Linked DNA regions of Tamandua tetradactyla. The protein of the gene in region 2 interacts with the protein of the main gene of each other region in a pairwise test. Links are inferred from orthologs where the notes say so. Each region holds a gene or a part of one and is shown on either strand. Other genes may lie near its edges.

Evidence for each region. The genes of interacting proteins can lie anywhere in the genome.
Region 1: the proteins of DACH1 (region 2) and FGF12 interact in binary tests that used the Homo sapiens proteins (3 or more experiments, as listed by UniProt). The two-hybrid records come from large-scale screens. The link is inferred for Tamandua tetradactyla from reciprocal best matches to the Homo sapiens genes DACH1 and FGF12.

The regions. Positions count from the first base shown.
Region 1 is NC_135336.1:12,088,395-12,098,363, forward strand, and holds the start of FGF12 (fibroblast growth factor 12), read right to left. Parts: upstream 4,712-9,969; 5' UTR 4,697-4,711; coding exon 4,498-4,696; intron 1-4,497. UniProt on the Homo sapiens protein: Involved in nervous system development and function. Involved in the positive regulation of voltage-gated sodium channel activity. Promotes neuronal excitability by elevating the voltage dependence of neuronal sodium channel SCN8A fast inactivation.
Region 2 is NC_135330.1:138,970,230-138,980,568, forward strand, and holds the start of DACH1 (dachshund homolog 1), read right to left. Parts: upstream 4,470-10,339; 5' UTR 4,241-4,469; coding exon 3,402-4,240; intron 1-3,401. UniProt on the Homo sapiens protein: Transcription factor that is involved in regulation of organogenesis. Seems to be a regulator of SIX1, SIX6 and probably SIX5.

The DNA of each region.
Region 1 (9,969 bases), on a different chromosome or scaffold from region 2:
ATGATTAAGAACTATTTTCTCCATGCTGCCATTTTTCTTCTTGAAGTTCTATTTCCTATGATGTATTTCTTCTATGTAAAAGGATGGTAAAATGGTGAATGAGCGTGTGCTTTGAATACTATACATCTACCAAAACAAGTTGGAAGAATACTGAAATATTCTGAATAACCACAATTTTTATAACAGGAGAAATTAGGACTCAGAAAATAAGAAAGTCAAAAGAATTTGGTAAAATTACAAACATTTCTTTGATTTATTTTAACCATTCAGGGTAATTCCATTACATCATTGTTTTAAAAGGAAGGGTATAAAATCACATATTTAAACTGTGAAAAATATCTTCGGTTACTTAGATGAGGGATTTCTTTTTTCAATGCTCTGATTTGAAGGAGGGTCCTAATTACACACAAAATTTTTTTTTTTAAAGAAACTCCAAAATCACTTAGCATACATAGATTAGATCTATGAAGTTACTGCCGCTTTCTAGAAAGGATCTCATCTGAAAAATGAGAACTATTAGCAGAACTCCAAGGTTGGTGGCAGCTCAGACAGTCAGAGATTACCTAAAAATGCCGTCCCCTTTCTTGGTAGTGAATGCTACCCATTATCTGCAGTAAATTCTGAGTCAAAACATAAATTTGGAGTCAATTATTTGCACAGTGTCTCCACTCAAAAATAAAGCAAACATTGGAAATGAAGAAGCCATCCAATTCATAAGGATGTGCAAATAACCTTGATACAGCAAATGCAGTGGCATCAACATTTAAGCAAATATCTTAGCAGGGCTTGCCCCCACAAGTATTTCACACAAAAAATAGCAGCTGAAATCATGACCAGAGAAATGCTCGTTTCTTTACTAGAAAATAAACAAACAGGATTGTTCTAAAGCCTTTTCATGGTTCAATGACCAAAGCCATCTTGCCAGTTCTGGGTCCCCAGCATTTCATTTAAACAGGCAGTGCCTGTTATCTGCTATGTCTTGACTATTGGATTCACTTCCAAAATGAATGCCAGCTATAGGGTGGTAGCTTTAGAACTCCAATTGCTGGATTTAGCCTATGCCTCCTCCTAAGAGTCACCTCCAGCATTCCGCACTATTCTTGCTCTAATTACAAAATGATCATAATAAGCTCATTCCCTAATGAGAAAAGACAAATGCAAAATTACTTCTGTCATTTGACAGAGGATGCCCAGTTCTTCATACTACTTTTCTGTGTTGTTTTGGGAAGAGCACAGACAAAGAGAATCAACTGAATCCAATTTTAGACCCACTTTTGCCACAATCAAGCCATATGGCCTTGTGTAAACCACGAACTTGCTGCAGTTCTAGGGTTTCTCATCTACAAAGGTAAGGATTTTGCTACCAATCCCAGTCTGCACTATCACTTTAAGCCCCAGGGATGGCATTCATGAAACCAGGCCTGCATGCATGGGGCCCTGGAGCCAACGTGCAAGGTGAGATGCTGACCTGCCATTACTCACATTTTAATTCCATGAACTGTGATTTTAAAACCTGAGCCCTATATCATAATTTCAATATTCCTGCTGTGTTAATAAAATTCCAACATTACACATATTAGAACTTGGTGAACTAAGAAAAGAGATTGAGAGACACTCACTGTGTCAGCACTGAAATAAAAAATACAACCACACAAATCCCATCTTACCCTTAGTTTAGCCTCACTGCTTCAGCCTCACTTCCTTATAAAGTCTAGTCAGAGAAAAGTATGTTTTAAGGATAGAAATTCAGAAGGCAAATTCTTTATCAGGATGAACTGTGACTCAGTTTGTAATTCACAAGGATGTGGTTTAGAAGGGCTAGTGATTTCAAAAATAACTCGAATATTAAATGACCATAGAAGTGCTTAAAAAACAGATTCCCTCAAATGGGTTTTCTTCAACTTTTTTTTTTTTTTCGGTATTTAGCAACATTACCCCAATCCAGCTAAAGATTCCTCTTTGGAATTAAGAAGTGGAAGGTGCTATCCTTCTATAAATAGGTTCATCCCTTGCTATGTGAATCATGGTTGCTGACAGCAAATCAACAGATTAATTATTTGGCTTTGTTAGTAGCAATAATGACACACTATCATCTTCCCAAAAAGCTTTTCTGCACCCCACACTCCTATTTTTCTAAGCTAAGCCTCAGAACAGCCTGAAGTCCGTGGTGTATAGGTACATACATGATGCCCTTGCAGTGGGCATGTCATAACAGTTCCTGCCATCTCTCTGCTGGATTGGCATGTGATATTTCAGCTAAGGGGAATCACCAGTCAAGATTCTCTCTGCCAAGACGCACATTAAATAGATGAAAAAGAGGAGCAGATTACATGAACATGGAAGAAAACTCAGCAATGCCTTCAAATTTTCTAATTTCCAATAAGTTGCTAAGGAAAGGGCCGCAGGAAGCAATTAATATAGTCCTTCCCAATCATGCAAAATTAAGCCATGAGAATTGCTCATTTCCAAATCAACTTTAAAAGACCAGATGAGTTTATCCATTCAAGAATATAATCCACCTATCATTTTTAGTACCTTATTTTCAGGTGAGGAGGCTAAGCGCACAATATAACTGCTCACATAGAAGTATCCCAACTAGAGTGCAAGAACACATGTCACAAACTGGGAAGCAAGAGTCATATCGAATTCAGAGCCTTGAAATTCTTTATACACTACATAAGCCCTGAGATCCCTGTGAAACAAATATAGGATTTTATTTTCCCTAATATTAATTATTTATTTTGTAGAGATAACTCTAGTTCTTTGCATAAATTGCTACTTTATGAAATAAGCAGGCTATATTAATTGGATGTAAAACAAGAGAGAATTAAGTAGATCCTGTCTTGGGTCACTACCAGATCATAATTATTTTTGTTTATTCCTGAAATTAACTATTGTATCACCATCACAAATTAAGAATTTAAAAAATGAGCCCACAGGGGTGGTGCGACAGTGGCTCAGTGGCAGAGTTCTCGCCTGCCATGCCAGAAACCCAGGTTCGATTCCCAGTGCCTCCCCACGCAAAAAAAAAAGAAAAAGAAAAAGAAAGAGATTTGTCAAAAATGAGCCCACGATGGCGTAAATAATCTCAAGAAAGACCAATCACAAATGAGGTAAGAAGTCTTCTCCACAAAACCTAATCCCAAATTTCTAAACTAAATCTAAACCCCTCATCCAGATTTTCTAAATGATTCCCCAATGAATCTAGTTCATGGGCCTCACTCTTGGAACCCAAGAGAACACCATAATCAGACGTGCAAAGCAGCTAACTAAGCCAGTCAACTAATCACAGAGCAGGCTGCTTTTTCAGACAATATTTCCTTTCAGTTGTCCACAGGATGTGTAACATATCTGCAGATTGCAGATGACCCTGCAGCCACACCCAGAAGGAACAACAATATCTGGTGGAAAAACAGGCCTCTACAATTTTGTTTTCATTCTTGCAAGCAGGAGAACTGGCCTGCCTTGAACTAGGGATATTCATGCTGAAACTCAAGATATCCAGTCCCTCTTCATAAACAGTACTTTATCATAGACCAACCATTTGGGTTTAGGGCCACAGAGGGAATCAGCTTCAAAAAGGCTAGACCATCAGAGTAGCTAATAATTCTGAAGTTTTCTTTACACAGTCAAACTGCAAATACTTTGCTGCTCCCTTACTGTCCCAAAAGTAAGTGAGTGTGCAGAGGATTAATGAGAAAAGCGTTTGGAAACCATGAGAGTGGTTGGAAAAATAGAATAGGGAAAAGGAGGTCTGTGGAAAAGGAAGTGAAAAGGGTATGTGGAAAAATGGGGACGTGAGAAATTGACTGAGATGTCTGAAAGATGTAATGCCCTGTTGCCGAAGAAAGAGTCAGTGAAAGAGAATTAAACTTATGTTCATCTAGTGTCTGGTAAGTGCCTATTATGTGCGAAGAACTATACTATTATACAGGATAAAGGAAGGAAGTTTGATATTTAGATCTTCAGAGTACTAAGCATGATGGTGGATGGATGGATGGATGGATGGATGGATGGATGGATGGATGGATGGATGGATTGATGGGCAGAAGGATAGACGTTTGGATGGGAATGAAAGAAAGAGAAGGAAGGAAAGAAGGGAGGAAGGAAGGAAGGAAGGAAGGAAGGAAGGAAGGAAGGAAGGAAGGAAGGAAGGAAGGAAGGAAGGAAGGAAGGATGGGAGGAAGGATGGATGGGAGGAAGAAAGAAAGGTAGGTGATCACTGTCCTCACGGACTCTACAGGCTATTTTGGACAAGGGACATTAACTCTCATCCTAATCAAATTCCAAAATCAAGGTAGAAAATGTTTTCCTGAATATGGGAAGAAAAGCTATTAACTGGCAGAGGGTGGTTGAAAGAGATGTTTGGAAATCAGGGGTAAAGAGAAATCAGAATGGAAAAGGGAAATCTTTTTCCACGGGTGCCCCCAGGTGCTTTGCGGAAGGGGAGAGAGGGTGTCAGCCTCTGGGGAGCCGATAGTCCGGGCTTCTACTGACCTGGTCTCCGCCTCACCGGCCTCTTGCGGCCGCTGCAGAAGCGCACTTTGCTGAACACCCCGAGGACGTGCCTCTCGCACAGGGAGCGCCCGTCTTTGCTGGGGCTGGAGCGGCGCTTGGAGGCCGACACCCGGTCGCTGTTGGACTCCCTCGCCTGCCGCTTCTGCCGGATCAAGGAGCTGGCTATCGCCGCAGCCATGGCTGCTGAGCGTGCGCCCCAGACCCCCGGCTCCGCTGCGCCTTCGGGAACGCACTCAGTCGGGGCGAGGGCAGAACCTCGGCGGCCCGAAGGGACAGGGCAGGCGGCCGGGAGGCAGTGCTAATATTCGAACAGGCCGCAGTACCGAAAACCCGGCGCCCACAAGGTTAGTCAGAGTCTGGGCAGTGGCAACAAAATGTGTGAAAATCCAGATGTAAACTTCCCTGACCGCTGGCGGCAGGGACGGGGCGGTCCCAAGCCTTGCTGCGAACTAGAGGCTTGCACCCCAAGGCGATCCGCGTCCAAAGGGCAGTGAGGAGTTTGGTCACACTGCGTTCGGGGTACCAAGTGGAAGGGGAAGACGAAATGTCCAAAATAACAAGCTGTGCCCCTGTTCGGTGAGGCGCAAGCGTTGTATGGTGTCCAAAGTATTTCTACACAAACATACATATAAAACCCGTTTAGAAAGCAGTGTCTGGACCGAGGCTGGTAGCGTATCCCCGGTAGAAAATACTAAAAAGTGAACAAAACGTTCCTCTAGAAAACAAGCCACCAACCGCAAGAGAGAAGGGTAGGAAGGCAGCAAATTAACTCCCTGCGGGCCGCAGTTCTGGAGATTAGGCGGTCGGTCCCGGCTGGGTGAAGTCTACAGAATGCATCGGACCGGCTGCGGTTCTCCAGGGTCCGGCAACCCGAGTTCTGGAATTCCGAGAAGCGCGAAGTGGGAGCGGTTAGCCAGAGTCGGGAAGGGGCGCCGAGAGTGGACAGCTGTTTCCAGCTGCGCTCAGCGCGACTCCCCGCCAGCAGCGCTGCAAAGAGAGCTAGAGGCAAGGGAGGTGGGAGGGAAGAGGGAAAGGGGGAAGGAAGGAGGGACGGAAGAAGGGATGGAGGGAGGGAGATCCTCAAGGGCCAAGCACCCTCCGGGAGAAACCCGGCAGAGGCGAGCACTGGGGATCCGCCGGGTCCCGAGAGCGGCGCTCTTTCTCTCTTTCCGTTTGCTTTCCGGCACGAGACCGGCACAGTTGGTGAGTATTTAGGGAATCTTAAATCTGGAATGACTCAGTAGTTTAAATAAGCCCCCTCAAAAGGCAGCAATGCCGAAGGTGTCCTCTTCAGCAGGGCACCTACACGCGTCTTTAACTGGAGCTCCCCGCCATGGTCGGTCAGGGACCGCCGCACCGAGCCAGTCTCGGCACCGGCTCAGAGGGAGCGAGGGAGGGAAGGGGCACCCTGGCGGGCTCGGGATCAGGTCATCGCCGCGCTGCCAGGGCCCCCCTCCCAGACTCGCGTGCCCCGGCAGTCGGCAGCTCACAGGCAGCAGATCAGATGGGAATTACCCGCCCGACGCAAGGCCGATCATTCAGTCCCGCTCGGCCCATCCCGACGGAGGAAGGAATTGACCGGCGCGCAGCGAACACCCGCGCGTCTGCTCGGGTGGGGCCGGGGCTTGCTGCGGGCGACGTCGGTTCGCGGCGGCTGCGGCTCCGGGCCTGAGCTACCCACCATGGTCTGGCGCCGGGGGCGCAGGTGGGGCCCCTAGGCCGCTCCGGACGACTGCGAGAGGCGGCTGAAAGTGCGACCCGGGCCCTCGAAGCCCGACACAGACTTGGGGGCCGGAGCTAAGAGGCAGGTGGGGGCAGCCGCCAACTCGCCCAACTTGCTGCGCGGGCGGCCACTCAGAGCCAAGGGCTCAGGGGGCGCCTCCCACCGGAGCGCCGCCGCCTCCCCAGATCCGGGAGGGGGCGCTCAGTGCTGAGTCCCATTCATGGGCTGAGGTTCTGGGCGCGCAGAGCCTCACCGGCTCCCTGGCGCCGCCGCCCCGCGGGCTCGCAGGCTTGAGCGCTACCCGCAGGAAACTCCAGGCGGAGGCGACCGCCACGGAGACGGCAGGTGGGACGGTGAGCTGGCGTTCTCTGGAGTTCCTCTTGCGCCTCTTGCCGACTCGCGGGAAAGCGTGCGAGCACCCAGGTGGGGCTGGGCTGGGAGGCGGGCTCCCGGAGCTCAGCGAAGCGCAGGGGAGCGCAGCGCGCTCGGGTCCTCCTCCCTTGATTGCGCCCTCTACTCGCAGACTCCGTCTCCTTCCTCCCTCTCCTCACCCCTCTTCCCCCCTCCTCCCCTCCTCCCCTCCTCCCCTCCTCCCCTCCTCCCCTCCTCCCCTCCCCCCTCCTTCCCTCCTCCCCTTCTCCCCTCCTCCCCTCCTCCCCGTCTTCTGTCTCTCCCCTTTTCTTCTCTCTACGCAATCCTACGTGATTGAGGTCTGGATGAGAAATTCTCAGAGGCAGAGCGAGGTAACTGCAGCTTGGGTCCGCTCTATCCAGTCCCTCCCCCAAGAGAAAACACAACTACAGACTGGTTAATCGACACTGTGTGCATAAAAGAATGAGTTAGGGGTCGGGGTCCCGAGAGAACACGATCCACACTCTTTCCAGTAAGCTGGAGCACCGTAGAATTCTCTGGTTTGGAAAGAAGGCAGTGGACACTGGAGAAAGTAGCAGTGGTCTCTTAGGCCCTCATGTTGGACCCCACTTTCAGCTCATTTTGAAATAGGGGAAAATGTTGGAACCCAGATTTCTTGGTGCTTTCTGTAATGATCCAAAGCACACTAGGTCTCTACAAAGGACTGAGTGCCCTGCACAGAAGGGGGAATGAGGTTTGGTTGGGAAGGTGACTTGGGCAAGGGCAGTCGATAACCAGCTTTAGAGTGCAATTAGGTCTCTAGAAGTGCTTGTGTTAACAGCTGGATCTTGTGGAAAGCTCAGCAGAGGAGACAATTTACAATCAAAGTTAAAAAGCAGCATGAAGGATTTCCTTAATGCAAAAGGTATAACCACTTTCATTCATGCCAAGGTATGGGAGTGACTAATAGTTATATTTACAATTGATTGCAATCAGTTGTCTTCAAACATCCCTAACCCCTCCTTATTCACAGTCATATCTCTGAGCATCTTGGCTAATGCCCAAAAAATGGGTGATAAAGGATTAAACAGGTGATTTAAAGCAGAGACAGGTGTGGGCTGGATACACCCTACTAGAGCGCAAAAAAAGAAAAAGAAAATGCAGGTCCAGGAAGCTACTGAAAATGAATGTGGGATCCATTCTCGGTAGCTCAGTAGCCACAAAACTGTGGACTTAGCCTAGATTCACTTGGGCAATGAGAAGGATTGAAGTATATGAGGTTATATGGTTTAAACACTGTGTCTGGGGGCCTGGAGCTTCCAGGCTGCCAGCTGGAAAAAGCAGTCTCAGAGGGTGGCAGACAGGGGCTCATGGAGAAGACAGCTGGGAGGAGAATGAAACAGGCAAGGGGCCCCAGGGGAGAGGGGAATCCCAATTGTCAATGGGGACACACACATCCCCTGCAGCAGTTCAGTGTAGCTGAATGAGGATAAGAGATTCATTCTCCGGATTGTAACAAAACATAAAAAGACAAGTGAAAAAGCTATATAGATAAAAATAGATTGGTACATTTCTTTTTTTCTCCAAAAGTGAAGCAGAACACGTTTTCTAAAGCACATCTAGATAAGGGAAGGGGGGTTAGTGACCAATATAGGTATATGAAATAGGGAAACGTCCACATTTCACAAATAAAATTATTTTCCTTCACCCCAAAGACTTGTCTCATTGTTGAGCAAGGCAGGCAAGAAAGCACTGGCTGGATTTGAGGACTTCCTTTTTCAAGGAAAAGGAAGAAACAGAAAGGTCAGCTAAGGGTCGGTATGCAGAGAAATAGCCAAGAGCAATATAAGGAGGCCTTGAGGAAATCATTGCTAAACTCTGAGTCTGTTTTCTCATCCTCAGAATAGTGATAATCATTCCCATCTACCTCACAGAACTGAATATGTATGTGTAAGCACTTTGAAAACTGGAAAATGCCAATTGAGTAGAACGGATGATGACAGCGTTTATTTTTTTCAAAGAATATGCATCAGATTCACCTCAGGTGCTTGTTAAAAATACAGATTCCTCGTGGTTCCTCAAAACTTTCTGGGTAGAGCCCAGGAATTTGAATTATTAGCAAGTTCTCCAGGTTTCACATAGATAATACTAGAAAGGAGAAGTAAACCCAGAATCTCAAAATCTGGCACAATTCCCCAATATTGCAGTCCTATGCCCCGCCCCCCCCGGCCACAAAAATTAAAAAAAGGCCTGAAAAGAGAATGTGTGTTCTCTAATGTTTGAGCATTGCTGACTTTTATCCCTGGGTTTATGGGAAATGAAGATGTTTTGATGTAGAAGATAACCATTGTAGAAACAGGATGGAAATGGGTGACGGTGACAGAGATTAAAAAGCAGATATTAGGTGCTACTTGATATTCTCCTCTCTGTCTTGACATGACAGAATCAAGTTAGGCACTTAAAAACAAAAGCAATAAATACCAGCTTTCTCAGAGAGATATTATTTCTGTCTTCAGATCTCTATGAAAAAAAATGTGGAGTTTTTTATTTGATCAGAAAATAAAGACTTAACCTTTTTCCTTGCACTACTGAAGCTATTCTTAGTTTTTTTTTTTTTAACTGTTTAGCCCCTTGAGTCATCACCCCCTTCATTTACTCCATTTTTCCAGAGAAAAGAAGAGACAGATTGAGAGACATTTGAGAAATTATTTAGGACCTAAGTACATGACTGTTCAGCTTGGAAATAATACTTAAATTCATCCTTTGCTATCCAGAAATTCATAGTTTTCCTACTTGGGCCACTAAATCTCATAAATTTCCTCCTCAACTACTAGAACAACTCTGATATCTTAGAATTTGGGGATCAGAAATGAAATTTAATCAACTTTCTGGTGATTTAAGTAAAACAACTAGACACTTTAAAGAATATCTCAGGAATAATAATACCTTAATTTTTCATCCATTTTTCTTGAACAACTTGAGAATTTCCCTTTACAATTTTGAAGACATCATGAGTAGAAGTAGTCTGAATTACTTTGGAGAAAGATGCCAGATATACATTAAAGAGATAATTATATTGTTATATTTATCATTCTGACCTCCAGTAAAACAGGTTAAACATGGGCAGTTTTAATCATCTCCATTTTTAGGAAGAAAACCACACAGTTAATAGTCTTTCCTTAATTTTTAGGTCAAGTCTTTCAATTCCCAAATTAAAATGTTAGGATTATTGCATTCATTCACTTTATATTGAGCACAGATTGCATCCAGGGCTATGTGTTAATTACCAGGGGAACTCTATACATCTTTACATTCTCCCTACATTCCACAAGCTTTCAGTTAATGCTATCGTGGTCTTACTTGGCTCTTGCCTAATA
Region 2 (10,339 bases):
GTTAATTTACTGACCTCTATTGCAACAGCCAAGTTCATGCAACTAATGTTTAGTTTAAAAATAATAATTGGAGGAAGCTGAGCAAGGTCATACTTTGTCCTTTGACACTTTTAAATATATTTCATTACATTTTCTTTCATGTTCCAAGAGCATTACTTTTAGCCTTACTATCTAGCAGGTAATGGTTGCTTTTTCATCTCCTCAAGGTAATGGCAGATGGTTTCAACATTTATCCTAATTTTCATAGATAGCATACTGATGTAATAGTCCCAAGCAAATTACATCCATTCTAAGGTTTGCTCCTAACTTATTTAACCACTTCGAACAAGTTCATGGATGTATCTTTAAGCATTATTTTGGTTTCTCAGATTCCCTGGCATCTAGACAAATGTCCGATAAATGCTATTATGAGACATAATTAGATAGATGTCCTGTGAAAAGCTATGAGTGTTAAGATGTGATGTTTCTTACATACACACAATAAATATATATGTAGTGCTATGTGGTTTGCCTTTTGCAGTTTCTCTTATCCTCTGCAAAAATTATTCCCTTAGATAGTCTCTTAAACAGTAAGTGGAGAGAGAAACCACAGTGAAAGAAATCAATGTATCTAGGTGAAGGAAAAAGGTTCTTAATAGCCAAGATATAAATTAGCTTTTAATGGAAAAAGTAATTTTACTTTTGTAAACTCAAGATGCAAAACATTTTAGATTGTTGCTTTCAAAGTTAAGAAATAAGACAATGACGTTTGTAATTAACATAAAATAATGCATTATGATGCAAGCAGCACATTTTGGTGAGAGGCAGTTCCATTACAAGTTTTCTATTCTTAGATCAGTAGCAGAGTTAGGAAAAGATAGGTATCTGCAACTATGCATCTTCTAAGGTTAACGACTACAATATTTGTGTGTATTTAAGTATGAGCAAGTCTTATAGTAAAGAAAAGATCAAAAGGCAATAGTAAATCAACAAATTTACCACATTTTAACTGAGAAATAACTTTAAATAAGGTTTTAGAACTCATATAATTGCCAGGTATTAAGACAAGCTAATTGAAACAGAGTAGTGATGATATATTGTTGAGGAGTAGACACTGCTAGTGGATTTTACTTCTCTAGTTCTGTAAGTTTAAACTCCAGAGCTATTGTTAACCTGGGGGAGGGCAGGTCTTTCTTTTTTTCAAATATTAGTTTATAACTTATAGAATATTCTACAACCTTATGGGAAGGACTTCAATTCCAGTCTAAGCACGAAATTGCAAGGGGAAAGATCAAGGGATTACACCGCGAGAGGTGTAATACTACCTGTTTTACATTGGTCATAACGTCGCAGTCATTGAAGGAAGTTTTCTCGAACAAGTTTTTGGGGTATGTGCAATGCCAATTGATTATCGAGTACAGTTACGTGCTGTAAGAAACACACAAAGAGGATTCAAGTGCAGTTTTTGATTACTAAAGAGCACTTCACCAATTTACTGGATAGGTAGAAGATTTTATAACAACCATATCTGAACTGGCCTTAGATTTTAACTAGCGTTCTTTCTAACTATCCTGTAATCGTTTTCCTTCCTGATTCGAGTAGTTTTAATAGTTTTTTTTTTTTTTTTGCAAATATCTTCTGGTTGTCCAAGGACTCCAATTATCTGAGTAAATGATTACTAACAAAGATTGCCTCTCGATCTTTACTGCCACCGCAAACCCACGCGCGCGCGCGCACATACACATACACTCAGCATCCACCCCCAAAATAGTAAAAATGCGAGTTCAAAGCCCAAACACACACCCATACCCTATTTGCAAAGAATAGCAAATAAATCGGGAAACAAAGTTTCTGGATTGTTCCGATGGGACATTTGGTGGGTCGGAGTTGGAGTCTTTCATCTTTACAGCTTTCCTGGGCACTAGGTGGGAATCTCCCTTCAAGGTAAAAAATAGCCCGGGGCTTTTTCACCTGGTTTCCTTCTGGTGTCGTTTTAATCCTCTTTCCTTTCCACCTCTGTTACCCTAGCTTTACTAGGAACACGGACCCTGAAAGAGTAAAACAGTTCACTCTCTGGGTCTTTAATCTGATTTGAAGAGCAAGGGAGTGTCCCCGCAAATTTTGCGCCCAGGTCCCACCCGTTTGCTCCAAGGCTCCAACTTTCCTCCTCACTTTCTCCTGTGAGATCTTAATTTTTTTTTCCTCTGAGATTCCCAGGAGCGAACGATGGGGACAGGAGGAAGTGTAAAAGGGTGGAAAGATCATTTCTACCCCGAAACTGACAAGTTGCCCCACTTCCGCCCCCTCTCGGTAGATCCTCCCCCACAGCGCGTTCATTAGCATAAACTGGTCTCGCCGGAGAATCAATCCTGCGGTCTCTGCCCCGCGCGCGCTCCGCGGGTCGGGAAGCGACCACACGGAGGACTCAGACCCCTGAGAGCCTCCCAGTGCAAAGCTTGCACCTGCTCGATTGCTAGAGCTACTGGCAACCTTTTAAAAAGAAAGAAAGAAAGAATAATAAAATTGGAGAGAGACCGCTGTCCTCTTTCTTCCCCACGTCTTCAGCGCGGCTTGCAAGAGTCTTGAGTACCCCATGGTCATCTCCCCTTAAAGGACACCTGCTGGTGCCCTCGCTTCTGCCCCGGGGCAAACGACACCCTTTATTTCCTTTGCACACGCACAGGCACACCTCACACGCGTACACACGCACAGCACACATGCGCGCACACACAGACCCCTCCCCTCGGCGGGCTTCCCCTCCGGGTTTTGGGGTTGAAGTGGCTGCGGGTGCCCAGGGACTGCCTCGCGCCTCACGGCTTCCGAAGTCGCTCCCCTCACGACCTCGAAGTGCCCTCCCCGGCTCTTGGTCCAATCGCTCGGCTTGTCCGCCAGCCCCTCACTCGGAGCGTGACGCCCTGCCCTTCGAACCCAGCCCAGCCTAGTGACGACCTCCCAGCCCTCCGTACGCCGTTCGGCGCCTCCGACGAAGCCTGCCTGGGCCCGAGGCTCGCCGCGGAAGCCGGGTCGCGGGGAGCTCACACGCGGCGGCAGCGCGGAGAGGGGTCTCCAGACGCCAGCGCGTCCGGAAAGAAGCTGTGGCTCCCGGAAAGGCGCCCTCTCCCCCTTCCCGCCCCCTCCGGCCCAAGGGTCGGGGGTGCGCGCGTCCCACAGCCGCCAAGCCCTGGCCAGCGAAGGGTGGCTCGGGCCCGAAGAGCGAGATCTGGGCAGGGTGAGGTGCCAACTTCTCAGGCGCTCGGGCGCGGCTGGCGAGCCCGGAGGAAGGGGAGGAGAGGGCTGCGCTCACCAGGGCGCGCGGCTCGCGGGCGCGCGGAGCGAGCGGCGCCGATTAGGGAGCCAGGGAAGGGCGAGCAGGCGGGCGGGAAGGGGCCGCGAGCGGCGGAGGCTACCCCCCGGTTCTTTACCTGGCGTTGGTGCAGTCATTGTAGAGGGTCTCGAAGTCCTTCCTGGAGATGAGTTTGCAGCGGTTCACTCCGGGCTGAATGGCGCCCAGTCCCCTCAGGATGCGAACCTGTTCCACATTACACACCACCGGCGTGATCTCCAGCCTCTTCAGCTTGGTGTAGACCGTGTGCAAGCCCCCCACCAAGTGCTTCAGGAACAGGTCGAAAGCCTGGGGCAGGCAGATCAGCTCGCAGCCCTCCACCGTGAAAGAAGCTACTTTGGCCCCCCTCAGATCCACCATTTTGCACTCATTATTCTGGGGGGTGTTTTCCACTGGGGACGGGGTCGAGTACACGGGTTTTCCGGGGAGGGGGCCGCAGCTGCTGCTGCTGCTGCTACTGCTGCTGCTGCTGCTGCTGCTGCTGCTGCTACTGCTGCTACTGCTGCTGCTGCTGTTGCTGCCGGTGTTGGCGTTGATGGGGGTGCTGGAGGCGCCGCCGCCGCCAGCACTAATGCTGCCACCGCCACTGCAGCCGCTGCCGCTCGCCGCCGCCAAGCTGGGGTTGCAGTTGCCGCCGCCGCCGCCGCCGCCGCCTCCGTTGCCGCCGCTGCCGCCGCCGCCTCCGCTGCCGCCGCCGCCGCCGCCGGTGGAGGTGACTGTGGCCGCCGCCGCCGACGCGATGGGCTCCGGCCGGAACAGAGTTGGCCCTGAGGACGCCGGGGGCCCGATGGACGGAGCCGGAGACGAGGTCGCCGACGAGGTGGAGGTGGTGGTGCCGGAGGAGGAAGCAGACGTGGAGATCGGGGGTTGAGGGGGGACCAGCTGGGTCGGAGGGATCAAAGCCGCCGGCACTGCCATGGTCACATATAAGGGGAAACAGGAGGAGAAGCGAGGGGAAAAGTTGCCACAAACCCCGGGGAGGGGAAGGAAAAACAGGGGGAGGGGGTGGGGAGCAGGAGCGAGGGGGCAACAACAACTCTAGGAGAGAACCAGAGGAGAAGGGAGAACGAAGGCTAGAGAAGAGGTGAGAAAGAGCGAGCGCAGGAGGGGCGAGCGCGAGAGGCGCTCTGGAGAGAAACGCACAAAAGTGTCCCGCAAGTCGAAATGCGAGTCCTCTCCGGGGGCTGGGATCGGGGGCTGGTTTGGGGGGGCGGGCGGGGGCGGGGAGGGTCGGCTGTTGTTGTGTGGGTCCCGCTCTAGCACAAAGTTAAGGATGAAGGTGAAAAGGAGGAGGTTTGAAGGACTTGCGTTCTCCCTGGCAAGTACATTGATCAAAGATTGAGAGGTGAATGACAGAGAGAAAATGAGCTGAAAAGTGCAGGCTGCCGGCTGGACGAGTTGTTGTTGTCACACGGTGCAGAGGGGAGGAGCTCCGGAAACTTGAAATACCCTTTGAAGCCGCAAAAACCTCACTCACTAGTATTAACCCAAATTATCCAACCAGGACTCGGAGAAGACTCCGAGAGCGCGAGACAGAGAGAGAGAGAGAGAGAGAGAGAGAGAGTGTGTGTGTGTGTGTGTGTGTGTGTGTGCGTGCGTGCGAGAAAAGGAGGAGGGGGGAGGGGGCAGAAGGGGGAAAAGGAAAGAAACTGTGGGAGGGACGAAGAGAACAAGCCAGGGACTCAGAAGTGGCGCTCGGAAAACAGAGGGAGATCATCTGTCTGCCTCTTCCTTCTCTTCTACTACCGTTAGATTGCATGTCTGTGTTCCGTTTCGTCCGCGACGGCTCGTAGTTTTCTTCTAAAGCTTCTAAGCAATCGCCTCCCAACTTAAAGAGGAGCCAGAAGGCTCCGAGCTCTTCTTAAAGGATTTAGGACATATCTCCTCGCGTTCTTGCACCGTGATATAAATGGAAACACATCCCCTCACTGCATAATCATTAAGAAATTAATTTGAGGAAAAGTAAGCAAAACGTATGTTTTATGCATCTGCTTGTTTATCTGTTACATTATTTTGTATAAAGATAGTGGAAATTCCAGATTGGACAGTTTTAAAGTTGCGGGGGGAAAAAGTCCGAAATTGCTTAAGAATAATGAAACACGCTGTGTTTAATTCTTTATTTCTTTATAGATTGTGGAAAGAAAGAAATGCTTTCCACGATGTGGATCGTTCAGAATAACTTCACTTTGGCTCAAAAGCAGATCAGGAGTGTCTGTTAGGCCATGACAATCCAAACAGATGAGACATCCTTGAAGATTTAAAAAGTAGAAAACAAGAACACGCCGGTTTTTCTTACCCAAAATTCTAAGCTTAATTTACCTGTATTGCACAGTAACCAATAACCCTTATCCTTTAAGACCCAAGGGTAGTTGCCAGTGTGCTGTTTGAATGATACAAGTTTTTTTTTCTCCCCATAATTGAAAAGTATCAATATATTTTGGGAATCCCTTCTTACTATATCGTGAAAATGTGTTTTGTAACTAATGAAAGCAAAAACAATGCTAACTAACTGATTTGTAAAGGCAGAAAGGGAAGCTATATTTAACAAACAGTATTTGGCTGAGTTCAGACTGACTTCTTCCTTTCTTTCCTCTCTCCCTTTCTTTTCTAACCTGTTGCATGTGTTATTTTATTCAAGGATTTCTTACGAAAATATGATTTGAGCATAGGTCAAATCTGTTCCCTGCTTGTATCTCTAGAAATCTTAAATAATTAGGCTTTGAATCTGTCTACACATGTTCAGTAACACAAGATATTAAACAATGCTTTAGCATTTGACAGATATTTAATATACACTATTAGCAGCAGATTCACAGTGCTGGGAGATTTCATAATGAAATTTCTGCCATTTGGTGTTGAAATTATGATCATGTAACTCTATCATTTTAACTCCTTAAACCTTTTGAAGTTTAGTGTCAAAAACTACAGGAAATATCTACAGAAAGATATGACATGACTAATTTGTCTACGTTTTATGCTAAACTTTTTGGGGCATAGCAGTTATATCAGGAGGCTTTTCTGGGATCTAAGATTTCAGAAAATTGGTTGTTGCAGGAAAGTAGAATAGCATCTAGAAGTGTAACTAAAGTTCACACAATTGTTTGGACGAGGTTAGCCAATGTATTTTAATATATTCAGAAATAATATATATTAATTTTTCAGTCCACTTCTCTGTCCTCAATTAAAAAGTATGATTCAATTTATAACATATACCATCGAAACACTTCCTTAAGCATTTATACACATTTTAGAAAATACTATCTTTTTAAAAAATAATCTCAAATTGCCATGTATTGAGCCTTGAAAAATTAATCTTATGTTGGAATCACAAGCACAACTTTATTAAAACTCTGACATAATTCTAAAACGTTAAACTACAGCTTGTTTAAATTCTAGACCCACATTTGGGGAAAAAATGGAAACTAAATGCTGAAAATCTGCCTTACCATTCTTATTTATCATATTTCCTTAAATTATCATTTACCCAATACCTGCCACATTTGTAAACCACAGACAGGAAGTAATGATAACAGACCAGACCATAATCCCACCCTGCTTCGAAGCAAACTCCAAATTTTACACTGCAGGGAAACCTGTGCCTCCCAGCACGTGCTTAGTCAGAAGCTATGGGAGTTTAAAAGACCTTAGGTCTATAAACCATTTCAAGGAACCACCACTTACCCCTTTGATCAAGCAATAGCATTAGAAAAAAAAGCATAATATAAATGAAAGGATTTAAGAAAGAAAAGCCTTGAGAATCTTCAGGGTTTCTTTTTCTTTTTCCTTTGAGAAATGTTACCAATGATTAAGACAAAAAGTATTTAACAACAGCAGATAAATCAACTCAAGAAAGATTTCAAATCTTCACTCTTTTCCATTGCATCTATAGCTTTCAGGGGTTTTGTCTTGTTTGTTTATTATTTTACATCTAGTTGCTTCAGGTCCTCTCCCTCCATCTCACCTTCCCCAGCATTCACTCAATTTGCATAAGCAAAACTCAAAGTACTGTAACGGATATTAGAAAATTCTCCTTGTGTTTTGTGAAGATGCATTGTGCTGAAATCAATAAGACTGTTTAAAATTCAAAGACCTGCAAATCGTTCTGTTTGTCCTTTGATAGGGCCTGTGCTGATTAAAATGCTACCAAGAAAGCTTAATTGCTGCACTAATTAAGAAGTCTTTAATTTCTTTCCTAGGATATCGTTTGAAGCTGAGCTTGTACCAGTTAAGGGAAGGTATTTTCTTCCCTCCCTCCTAGCCCCTCCCCTCCCTTCCCCCAGACGATAACCGAATGATGGAAACTAAGAGAGAGTGGTCTCAGGTCTCACCATCTATTACTTAAAAATCGGCACAGGATAGAGTTCAGTACATTCTGAAATGCAGGTTTGAGAAGAGCTGCAAGGTTGCAGGAGACAGTAAGAAAATACAAAGTAGCTGTTGCAGCTAAAGTCATGGTGAATACCTGGATGACAACAAGCACTTTAGTCCGATGATAAGGGCATCCTAAATGGTTAAAAGGGGAAATGACAAGGAAATGCTTCTGTTGAAATTAGGACAACATAAAAGCATACTTACAAAGCCTAAGGTTAAAAGAAAGAAGAATAGATCCTTAGAAAGATGGGCTTATAGTTGGAATTTGGTAAGTATCATTTTATTTTATTGAGTGTAAAAACATGAATTCTGTGGTGACTTATTGTTGACCCTTTTTATAACCCAAGCAAGTATAGCACTGTATTACATCCATTCTATCCTTATCTATTGACCTATTTTATTCACTGATTTCTCAGGTGGGGAAACTGACTAAATGATTTTGCAAAGCTTGCTCTGTAATCAATAGTCAGTTTTAAGGTTTATTCATGCTGCATTATAATTCTGGTAAATGCCTGCAAAGCAGAAGATTGTAAGAAAGATACAAATATTGACAAAGCCAGGATAAGTCATTTCTTTAAATCTTCAGGGTCTCAATATAGTAATTAATAGTGTTACTTAAAAAGGAAAAAAAAAAAAGATTGAAAACGCAGCTTTCCTAGCATGTAAAAAACTAAAATGATCGAGTAACCTAAAGGCAATATATCCAAACATGTTTCTTGAATATCTCAAATTTTCCCAAAAGCTTTAAGTATCCTTTTCTTACAGCATCATTAACTGAAACAGAAACAGTTTAGACACATGCAGAAAGGGCAACAAGAAAAGATTCATTAGTATTTTATTATTTTAATTCCCCCCCCCAAGTTGTGTTAGAAACATGCACAGAAAAATACAGATGTACATTCCGGATATATACTGAATTATTTTCAGTGACAGGACAAGGAGATAACATGTTTAATAGATTCAATGGGAGATTTACCATTCTGAGCACGACGTCACTCTAATTATGTTTACTCTAATTGAAAGCAAGGTTTTTTGGAATCTGAAATTACTTTCACATTTTTTTTTTTTAAATAATGCAACTGGATCAAATGTTGATCACAAGCATTTCAATCTTTCGAAATGTATTGGAAAATTAAATGAAAAGTGGAGTTTGGTACAAACAATGCCCCAGGGCAAAAAACAACTAACACTAGATTTTCCAGTCCAGCCATAACACAAATCAATTTGAGCACACTTCTATGGCCAGACTGCCAGATTGTTATGACTGCTAATTCACTCAATCAAAGAGTGCATTAGCACACCCGGCACAAATAGCTTTAACAATAGAGTGCACTTCTGAACAATTCTAAGATATATATATCACAATGGAGAAATAAAGAGGAAGATCATTTTTACATCTGCCTATTTACTAGTAGATCTGTTTCCTTAATAGAAAAAAAAAAAAAGACAGAGATAAACTCCAGGCATAGGTTTATTAAAGAGCTATCAAAGTTTGGCAAATCTAGAAAGATATCAAGGTACCAGTAGTTCACTGACTTTGTTAAACGTTTCTCAGGAGAGAGTCCAAAATTGATGTTTGCACTTCAGTAGTAAATCATTGAAGATGGAGAAATTATGCCAAGTAACTCTCTCAAGCCTTTTTAACTCAGATGCACGGCCTCACCAATCAACTTAGCAGATAAACCTCAACTACCTTAAGCAAAGACTTCCTTACCCCTCCTTGCTTAGTGTTCCAACTTCTGGCTTTTGATGGCTCATCCATTGTCTCCCCTCTCTTTTCCAAACCCCTGCCTTCCTCAACAACTAAGACTTTTATCTCATTGATGCATTCTCTAATCAAGCACAGGGAGCTTTATGATGAATTACCCAAAGGACAGAAGGTGGGAAGCTGAAGGTGAAAACACCATTACTTGAAGCATTCAAATTATATATTATAAACTTTCATTCTTAATAAAGAAGTGGTTAAAATGGTTATAAATAACTCTGATTTGTTCTATAACGTGGGACTGCATGGACTATATACATGCTTACTGAAGGCGGATAATAATTGTATATTCACATTCATGCTTACATAGATCCCAGAAACAAATGGTGCAGTTTAGCACCATGGTTCCTCCCTCCCTGACCTATTCCCACCCTCTTTTCTCCCGGTTCAGAATAAAGGTGACATATGGCAAAGAATTCTTTGCTGGTTATGGAACGTATTTTTAAAAATCTCTATACTCACATTGAAGGAGGGAGAGTAGTGGCAAGAAGAATTACCCCCCCCAAAAGTCATCATGTATTTCTTTTTAACTCCAAACAGCATCATTTCCATGATAAGTCATCAACAACCCTTGATAGTTTATTAGACTTTCCTACCACTACTTCTAGTGTAAGTATCCTTAATTTCACCTGTGAGTTGGTATTAAGGGGTATACAGCTAAATATTCAAAGAAAAAACAAAGTAAGTAAGATAATTTTAGAGTTAGATTGAAAAAGAAAGCAGCACCAAGAATAATATAAATTGAGACTAATTCCCGTCATCTCTTTAATCAGGTTATTGTGAGAAGGAGGGCAGACTGGATTGACGTAAGCTTACAAAGTCAGGCAAATATTTAAATCCCTAGTTTTCAGTAAATATTGTAACATTTAATTGTACCTTTT